Arabidopsis thaliana: one gene and its partner. The protein of the gene in region 1 interacts with the protein of each later gene in a pairwise test. Each region holds a gene or a part of one and is shown in the gene's direction. Other genes may lie near its edges.

The links. The genes of interacting proteins can lie anywhere in the genome.
Region 2: the proteins of AT3G02330 (region 1) and MORF1 interact in a two-hybrid assay, tested with the Arabidopsis thaliana proteins (one study listed by BioGRID).

Annotation. Positions count from the first base shown.
Region 1 is NC_003074.8:472,947-478,643, reverse strand, and holds AT3G02330 (Pentatricopeptide repeat (PPR) superfamily protein), read left to right. Parts: upstream 1-1,981; 5' UTR 1,982-2,051; coding exon 2,052-4,763; 3' UTR 4,764-4,870; downstream 4,871-5,697. Other genes in the region: AT3G02340 (RING/U-box superfamily protein), read right to left, coding at 383-1,612; AT3G02320 (N2,N2-dimethylguanosine tRNA methyltransferase), read right to left, coding at 5,152-5,439, 5,535-5,612. UniProt on the Arabidopsis thaliana protein: Involved in C-to-U editing of mitochondrial RNA. Required for RNA editing at 8 sites in 6 different mRNAs in mitochondria.
Region 2 is NC_003075.7:10,843,552-10,848,094, reverse strand, and holds MORF1 (multiple organellar RNA editing factor), read left to right. Parts: upstream 1-1,947; 5' UTR 1,948-2,009; coding exon 2,010-2,377; intron 2,378-2,595; coding exon 2,596-2,693; intron 2,694-2,782; coding exon 2,783-2,848; intron 2,849-2,934; coding exon 2,935-3,662; 3' UTR 3,663-3,693; downstream 3,694-4,543. Other genes in the region: AT4G20040 (Pectin lyase-like superfamily protein), read left to right, coding at 1-747; AT4G20030 (RNA-binding (RRM/RBD/RNP motifs) family protein), read right to left, coding at 849-995, 1,075-1,181, 1,272-1,340, 1,598-1,733; PTAC9 (plastid transcriptionally active 9), read right to left, coding at 4,106-4,234, 4,321-4,385, 4,504-4,543. UniProt on the Arabidopsis thaliana protein: Involved in organellar RNA editing. Required for the processing of numerous RNA editing sites in mitochondria. Binds to the mitochondrial MEF19 and MEF21 factors, two pentatricopeptide repeat-containing proteins involved in RNA editing.

The DNA of each region.
Region 1 (5,697 bases):
CACAAGTTTCACTGAGAGAACAAAGTAGCACCTCAGGGTCTGTAAAATAAAAGTCATTACAAAAAGGTTACCTTGAGAGATCTATCCAGATCATGCAAAACTAGCTTAAGAGTTGTCAATAACTAATGAAGTAAGAAGCTTAGTTATAAATCCATGATTGATCTTCAACGAGAACAACTATGAAAGATGGATTAACTTCACAAACACTTCAAGATAAGGGTTCAAAGTTTAACATGATTTATTTCACAAAACAAAAGGAATATATACAACTTAAACATTATCACATTCACGATAAGTGCTTACCATAAACAAAGTGGTTCAAGGATCTTGCCTCTGAAACCATGTCTATTAACTTGAAGAATAGATCACTTCAAATATTCAATTAACTATATCTACCCGGCAACACGTTCCTTGCCAAACCAGTATCGCCCCTTTCTGAGCTCTTATGTCTTTCATACTCAAGATCATCAGTAGGCAGCTCATACCGACAAACCGGGCAAGTATTCCTTATCCCCAACCAAGGTATGATACACTCTCCATGATAGAAATGACTACAAGGAAGCCTCCTTACTTTCTCCTCCACTAACATTTCATCTTTGCATACCGCACAAACATTGTTCCCTTTGTCTAACTCTTCCACAGCAAGCTCCACAACCGGAAGATCCTGAATTACACTTTTGGCTGCTGGAGGATTTCCCCTGATTCCAGTCTCGTCATCAAACATTTGCCCAAGAATAGCATCAGCATCATAATGTCCACTATGATTTTCATCAAATTCATCCAAACCAGATAGATACAGGTAATAATCCGGATCGATATCATCAGGGTTTAGCATGATTCCTTCAGCTTGTTCGATATAATTAACAACATTGTTAACAGTTAACAAAACCTGCCAGTCCAGTTCATGATCTTCTTCTTCATCATCCCTTGATAGTGAAGACAATTCATCTTCTTCGTCCTCATCTTCGGGTCCACTAAAAGCTGTCCAGTTAATCGCGTTCTGCACCTCCTCCCATTCTTCATCAGCCAACACGGTTCCCTCTCCGAAGAGATGATCCCACACAGGAGGAAGACCCGTACCAACCTCGACCCGACCCGAATCATTTCCCCTATTCCCGCTACTATCCTCAGAGATAAAATCAAACACGCCATCTTCACAATCGGAATCTGAATCGATACCGGTCACTCGAAGCCCTTGCTCCCCTGAATCACCCGGTTGCAGATCCGACCCGGAAGTCCCCAAAACTATCTCCTCCTCTTCCTCGTCTTCCTTGGGGTCATAAAAGCCCCAAATATTATAATCACCGGCGGTCAGCCCTCCTGATTCCAAGTACTCAGCCACGTCAACATCGGAAGAATCTCGATCGAAGAAATCGATGGGACAGCTGTTGGGATCGGGCTCAGAATCCGAGTAAGAACCTGATCCAGAATCTGAAATCGGGCCTGTGAAAGGGAAATAAGGATTGCAATCGATGTCCCTGTCGTCGAATGGCGAGTAACGGACGAGTAAGTTCGTGGTCTCCGGTATGAAAATCGGATCGTCTACGGCTACACCGTCGCCTTCAGCCTCTTCTTCAAGGTTGATTGCGGAATCGGGCTTCGTCGACGCCATTGCTGTGTCTCAGAGAAAAGTAATTAATTAAAAAAAAAAAAGACAAAAAAGGAAAAAGGAAATTTCAGAGGGAAAAATCGTATGATTTCGTCTACACAAAGGATATAATATGATGACGTGTATTTGCAGGTGGATTAAGACAAACGATGAAAAAATTACGCCGTTGCCGGGGATCGAACCCGGGTCACCCGCGTGACAGGCGGGAATACTTACCACTATACTACAACGACCTTGTTGATCTGGTAATGCTTTTTAATTATTTAATAGAATAGTAAAAGTCCAAACTGGATTCCCCGTGGCGTGTTAACCGCTTGATTAATATAGCTAGTGCCTAGTCAGTCGGTTTATATATTTTTCAAACCGAGTGAACCGAACCGAAGCAATTGTAATCGTTTCAATCCCGCCATAGATACCACTGAGTTTCAGTTCGTTATGACTCATGGCGGAGAGTCTCAGATTATTGCATATGACCAGATCAGTGGTTTCATTCAATCGTTGTCTAACAGAGAAAATTTCATACCGGAGAGTTCCAAGCTTTTCTTATTTCACTGATTTTCTGAATCAAGTGAACTCAGTTAGCACGACGAACTTTTCGTTTGTTTTCAAGGAATGTGCGAAGCAAGGAGCGTTAGAGCTAGGCAAGCAAGCTCATGCTCATATGATAATATCTGGGTTTCGTCCGACTACATTCGTACTGAACTGTTTGCTGCAGGTCTACACAAATTCAAGAGATTTCGTGTCTGCTTCTATGGTGTTCGACAAAATGCCGCTGAGAGATGTTGTTTCTTGGAACAAAATGATAAATGGTTACTCGAAGAGTAATGACATGTTTAAAGCGAATTCTTTCTTCAATATGATGCCTGTGAGAGATGTTGTGTCTTGGAACTCAATGCTTTCTGGGTATCTGCAAAACGGCGAGAGTTTGAAATCTATCGAGGTTTTCGTTGACATGGGGAGAGAAGGTATTGAGTTTGACGGTAGAACTTTTGCAATTATTCTTAAAGTTTGTTCCTTTTTAGAGGATACCAGTTTAGGAATGCAGATTCATGGGATTGTCGTTCGAGTGGGTTGTGATACTGATGTGGTTGCTGCGAGTGCGTTGTTGGATATGTATGCAAAAGGCAAGAGGTTTGTCGAGTCTCTTAGAGTGTTTCAAGGTATACCAGAGAAGAATTCTGTCTCGTGGAGTGCTATAATCGCAGGTTGTGTTCAGAATAACTTGTTGTCCCTTGCTTTGAAGTTTTTCAAGGAGATGCAAAAGGTAAATGCTGGAGTGAGCCAGTCAATTTACGCTAGCGTCTTGAGGTCATGTGCTGCGTTATCCGAATTGAGGTTAGGCGGTCAGTTACATGCTCATGCCTTGAAGTCAGATTTTGCAGCAGATGGTATAGTGAGGACGGCGACATTGGACATGTACGCAAAGTGTGATAATATGCAAGATGCTCAAATTTTGTTTGACAACTCAGAAAATCTTAATAGGCAATCTTATAACGCAATGATTACTGGTTATTCGCAAGAAGAACATGGTTTCAAAGCTCTACTGTTGTTTCACCGACTCATGTCATCGGGTCTTGGTTTCGACGAGATAAGTTTATCAGGAGTATTCAGGGCTTGTGCCTTGGTGAAAGGACTTTCAGAGGGGCTTCAGATTTACGGTTTGGCGATAAAAAGCAGCTTATCGCTAGATGTTTGCGTTGCAAATGCTGCTATCGACATGTATGGGAAATGTCAAGCTCTGGCTGAAGCCTTTCGTGTATTCGATGAGATGAGAAGACGAGACGCTGTGTCTTGGAATGCGATTATAGCTGCACATGAGCAGAACGGAAAAGGATATGAAACGCTTTTTCTTTTTGTCTCGATGCTCCGTTCTAGGATCGAACCTGATGAGTTTACCTTTGGAAGCATATTGAAAGCTTGCACTGGTGGTTCTTTAGGTTACGGTATGGAGATCCATTCCAGCATTGTCAAATCAGGAATGGCTTCAAACTCCTCTGTCGGATGCTCTCTGATCGATATGTATTCAAAGTGTGGAATGATAGAAGAGGCGGAGAAGATACATAGTCGATTCTTTCAACGAGCCAATGTCTCGGGAACAATGGAAGAGCTTGAAAAGATGCACAATAAGAGACTGCAGGAAATGTGTGTTTCATGGAATTCAATTATTTCCGGATATGTAATGAAGGAACAAAGCGAGGATGCTCAGATGCTTTTTACCCGGATGATGGAGATGGGTATAACTCCTGACAAATTTACTTATGCAACAGTTCTTGATACCTGTGCGAATCTTGCTTCCGCTGGATTAGGTAAACAGATTCATGCTCAGGTCATCAAGAAAGAATTGCAATCTGATGTGTATATCTGTAGCACCCTCGTTGACATGTACTCGAAATGTGGAGATCTCCATGATTCAAGATTGATGTTTGAGAAGTCGCTGAGAAGAGATTTCGTGACCTGGAACGCCATGATTTGCGGGTATGCACATCATGGGAAAGGAGAGGAAGCTATACAACTGTTTGAGAGAATGATACTCGAAAACATCAAACCAAATCACGTTACTTTCATATCGATACTCCGAGCTTGTGCTCACATGGGTCTGATCGACAAAGGGCTCGAGTACTTCTATATGATGAAGAGAGACTATGGCCTGGATCCTCAGCTACCGCATTACTCGAACATGGTAGATATATTAGGAAAATCCGGAAAAGTCAAGAGAGCATTAGAGCTTATTCGAGAGATGCCATTTGAAGCAGACGATGTCATATGGAGAACCCTGTTAGGAGTCTGCACGATACATAGAAACAATGTAGAGGTTGCAGAAGAAGCAACTGCTGCCCTGTTGAGATTGGATCCACAAGACTCTTCAGCTTATACACTTTTATCAAATGTATACGCAGATGCAGGAATGTGGGAAAAGGTTTCAGATTTGAGGAGAAATATGAGAGGCTTTAAGCTTAAGAAGGAGCCTGGTTGCAGTTGGGTTGAGCTAAAAGATGAGCTTCATGTGTTTCTCGTTGGAGATAAGGCTCATCCTAGATGGGAAGAGATTTACGAAGAGCTTGGTTTGATTTACAGTGAAATGAAACCTTTTGATGATTCTTCTTTCGTGCGTGGGGTTGAAGTAGAAGAAGAGGACCAATGGTGTTACTGCTAAACAATTTTGTATTAAAAGTAAATTTAACAAATAGATTGTTTACAGCGTTTGTATAGTTGTAGTTTTGTTTGTTCAAGTACTATGATATTGCTTCATTTAATGATGATCAGAAGTGGTTATCTACTTTCAATATCTTGTTATACATTGCTTCTTTTGCCTCTTTTAGTTCTTCATGGTACTAAATTACTGTTTGGTTCGGTTAAGCTATAGATGAGTAAACTAATAAGATCACAACAGAAGGAATCACAAAAATGGGTCATAAGTCTCAAGTATTACCAAAAATGATTATATAGGAAACAACAGACAAAACAGAGTTCTTCATCAGGAGGCAAATCTGACTGTAGACAAAATCTGATCTATTTTGTAAAACTTTTTGTGATTTGTCTTATTATGTTGAGGTAATATTATCTGTTGCTGTCTTCTGGCGTTTTGGATCAACCTTGTCTTGGACATTATCTTCTGGCTCTGCTTCTTCATCTTCTTCTTTAAGTTCTTCATGGTGTTGGCTAAGATGACCATTGACTGCTTCATGACCAATAAGAGATACATGTTTGCTCGTAATCTGGCGACCAGCCCTAAGCTTTGGACCCCAATGCTTCTCTGGATTTGGCAGAAAACGAGCTACTTTCTTTGCCTGTGCCTTGCTCAGCGAACCAATGTGACGCGAAAAATCAACCTGTCCAAACACAAGACAGAATCGAAAAGAAAAGATTCAGGCTTGGAAAAAACATTATTCAGTTTCAAACAATTCAGAGAAAGCGAGCAAAAGACCTCATGTGATGGTTCTTTGGACAAGATCACACTACCGGGTTGTTCAGGCGATTGCGCCTTTATGGGATGATTCTTCACCTACAATATCACCCAAGAAAAAACCATCAAAAAGAAGACCTGGTAAGATGAAACACGGTCACATTACAAATTCATCAACTTAGTT
Region 2 (4,543 bases), on another chromosome or scaffold:
GGAGGTCATGAGACATACATTTCAAACTCCTTCTTGGGGCAACATTCAACGGTAGGAGGAGACAGAGAAGAAAGAGGATTTACTGGGACAGGAATCGATATCTCGAGTAACGACAATGCCATTACGGATGTAGTGATTTTCTCGGCTGGTATCGGTATCTCTTTGAATGGTGGTGCAAATATGGTTACGGGTGTGCATTGCTACAATAAAGCTACATGGTTTGGTGGCATTGGCATTCTAGTGAAATCACATTTAACGAGGATAGATAATTGTTACCTTGATTACACAGGTATAGTCATAGAAGACCCTGTCCATGTTCATGTCACCAATGCTTTGTTCTTAGGAGATGCAAACATCGTCTTGAGATCGGTACACGGGAAGATTTCCGGTGTAAACATCGTCAACAACATGTTTAGCGGTACCGCCAAAAACAACTTCCCGATTGTCAAGCTAGAAGGAGAGTTTCATGATATTAATCAAGTTGTGATTGATCAAAACAATGCAGAAGGGATGATGCTGAAATCAACAACCGGAAAGGCCATGGTTTCCGCAAATGGAACACGATGGATCGCTGATTTTTCCCCTGTTTTGGTATTCCCTAACCGGATAAACCATTACCAGCATTCGTTTTTCGCTCAATCCGGACAGATCCCTGCAAATGCAGTGACCAATGTCTCCAACAATATGGTGGTTGTAGAAACCGATAGAGCTGTAACTGGAACCGTGTCAATAATTGCTTATCAGTAAAACAACATTCTTCACATTGATCATATTCCTAATAAGAAAGCATGATTTGACATCTGATTTATACAAGTTCAGTTACAGTTTGGTGAGCTTGATACTAACAACTAATACCAGCAATCAGCAACCTCATCATTAGCGGCTTCTTCTGGCTCATCCGACTTCTCAGGTGGACCAGAAGTCCTAGGCAGTCCTTGGAAATCACGTTTACCTGGTTTCGCAATGTCTATATAAATCATTCTGCCATTGTACATCTGCAACAGAGGAATGGGAAACATTTAGGTTGATTTCAAGACATAAAAATGTAAACTTGTGATTGAAAGAAGCTTTTACCCGACGGTCCATGGTCTCTATGGCAAGAAAAGCATCATCTTGAGACGTGAATTGAATAAAAGCATAACCTTTTGATCTCTTCATTGCCTCATCTTTGATAAGCTTAACTGTTTTGAAGTATAAGAGTGAACATATCAATGCCATAAAACTGAACCTTAAAGCAACAAAACAGAGTAAAATTGAAACCGCAAACATACCTTCAGCTATCTCTCCAAAAGCTGAAAACTCTCTCTTTAGAAAATCTTCACTTGTAGAAAACGGTAAATCTACAAATTCAAAGTGAAGAAACATCAGAACCGTAGAGTAATTACCAAGTTGAAGTTACAACCAACTTCAACTTCACTAATGATTGCTACAAGAGCTTAGAGCTATCACATATGACTACCGTCACAATCCTGACTCAAATCAACTAATTTCAATCAAACCAGAATCATAAATTACTTTTGGAACAATAACAGAACCATGTCCTAATCTCAGCTAGAAGCGAATTCAAATATAAACCAAAAGATAATCTGAATCTTACTTCTGACCATGATTTTGCTCGCTAGAGGGTAATTAAAGAGCGAAGCTTTAATCTTTGGAAACCTAAGGTTCCTGTAATTAGGTAGAGAAGATGAAGAAGCCACAAAAGAAGGGAAAGATAACGTCGCCGACCACATAATTCACAGTCGCCGGAAATAGAGAGGGAGAAGAAGAAGAAACAAACAGAGAGTTATAAAACGACAGCGGTATAGTAAAAAGCTAAGGCCTAAGTTTTTTGGCCCAGTGATAAATTTGAAACTTTAGGCGGAAACTAAAAACATTTGAAACAATAAGGACTTAAAAAGTAATTTACTATTTATTTAGATATTGTAAAACCCACACAAAAACCCTAATTTCATTTCTCCAAAGCTTTCCAGAATACTCTCCACTCCTTCATAATTTCTCTGGCAACGATGGCTATGATATCTCACCGTCTCCGACGAGCTTTACTCACTGCGACTTCCTATGTTAACCGATCAATTAGCTCTTCGATCACACCAGCGTCTGATTTCCCTTCTGTGTCGGCGGCGGTGTTAAAGAGATCCGTTATAGGGCGTTCGACGGAAGTAGCTACTCGAGCACCGGCGAGACTGTTTTCAACGAGGCAGTACAAGCTTTACAAAGAAGGTGATGAGATCACGGAAGACACTGTGTTGTTCGAAGGATGTGATTATAATCACTGGCTTATCACTATGGATTTCTCCAAAGAGGAAACTCCTAAGTCTCCAGAAGAAATGGTCGCTGCTTATGAAGAAACTTGCGCCCAAGGACTTGGCATCAGGTTAGTAGATGAATTTTTGTCACTGCTTAGATTCGTTGCTTTTGGCTAAATTGTCCAAAAATCATTCAGTAAGTTACTTAAATGTGAGAACTTTACCATTGCTAGGGTTCCATTCACTGTTATATAGCTCTGCTTTGATTTTTGTGTATCTTCTTCTGGTATTGATATTGGTTAAGACGATTATATTGATTCATTTTTGGTGTTTATGGTTGAGTCAGCGTGGAAGAGGCTAAGCAAAGGATGTATGCTTGTAGCACAACTACTTACCAAGGATTTCAAGCAATCATGACTGAACAAGAATCAGAAAAGTTCAAGGGTATATAGTTCGAATCATTTATGTTTGTTTTCTTTTGAATTCAACTTTTTTCACCAGATATTGACTCTGTTATTGGTATATGTAAACAGATCTACCCGGAGTGGTTTTCATCTTGCCAGATTCCTACATTGATCCCCAGAACAAAGAGTATGGAGGTGAGCTGGTTTTTTTTACAAACTGGTCTTATTTTGGATATTTGTTGTTGGGACTCTATCAACAAAATTATGTTTCTTGTTTTCAGGAGATAAATACGAGAATGGAGTGATAACACACAGGCCACCACCGATTCAGAGTGGCAGAGCAAGACCTCGTCCTAGATTTGACCGTTCAGGAGGAGGAAGTGGTGGTCCCCAAAACTTCCAAAGAAACACACAGTATGGTCAGCAACCACCAATGCAAGGTGGTGGAGGGAGCTATGGTCCTCAACAGGGCTATGCCACTCCAGGACAAGGTCAGGGAACTCAAGCGCCTCCACCATTTCAAGGAGGTTATAACCAAGGCCCGAGATCTCCACCACCTCCATATCAGGCAGGTTACAATCAAGGCCAGGGATCTCCAGTGCCTCCATATCAGGCAGGTTACAATCAAGTCCAGGGATCTCCAGTGCCTCCATACCAAGGAACACAAAGCAGTTACGGTCAAGGTGGATCTGGGAACTATAGTCAAGGGCCACAAGGTGGTTACAACCAAGGAGGACCTAGGAATTACAATCCACAGGGAGCTGGAAACTTTGGTCCTGCATCTGGAGCTGGAAACTTAGGTCCTGCACCTGGAGCTGGAAATCCTGGCTATGGTCAGGGGTATTCTGGACCAGGACAAGAGCAGAATCAGACATTCCCACAGGCAGATCAGAGGAATCGAGACTGGAACAACAATAATCCAGCAGGCCAGCCCGGGTCTGACCAAGTAAGATCTCGATCAATAATGAATCTTGCATCTTTCTTTTTTGATATCCTCATCAGGCATTAAAGTACCCCATTTTCCCCATATTTGTTACTGAGATGGTCCTGTGTTTCAGTTTCCACAGGGAAGAAGGTACTAGACAGAGAGCATGCTGCAGTGAATTGAGCTGAATAAGGAGAGAAGTGTCAAAGGCCTTTTATTAAGTTTTACAGTAAATAGTATTTAGTCATCTTTCTACTTTGTAAGACAATAGTTAGTCCTTTTTTCTCTTAAGTTGAGCTTGTTAACGTTGTTGGTTGCGCTTGTGAAATTGAAACACTCTTTCTAGAAGTTCTTTTAAGACCTAATATGCTTGCTTTACCTGAGACATTTGGAATCGTCCACACTTGTAGCTACTGTATTCAGTCTACTAACCAAAAATCAAACGGAACTTTGAAGACCACTTTGAATAGAAATGATGAATTTTGTAAACACTTGGAGCTCTTTACATGGAGATAATGTTTCTAAAGCTAAAAGACAATACTTTCTTGTTTCTTCTTGACTGGTGGCAGTTTCGGTAATACCCAAGTAGGAGACTCGTTTAGCCACAGTGCTTCACCTGTCTCCTTGTGCTTGAAATCAGGGGCTTTTGCATTTCTCTTCAAAACAAAAACGATATTGGGACAATAGGTCAGTTTCTTGGAAAGATTGATGAAAAACCGAGCAAAAGATATTGGTATCCTACCTTGTCGATTCTATTGTCCCACCATTTATCTGGGTTCTGAACCAAGTCCTTCCATGATTCTTCTCCTACACATATCAGCCCAGATTTCAGTTTATACAAACATACTTGAACAAGTGCCACATAACTGTAAACAACTTTCTTTGTATAGTTGCATAGGAACATGGAAATGACTGGGAACTTTACCTTTAAGTTGTTTTACAACTCTGGCTTTAGGGACTAGAAC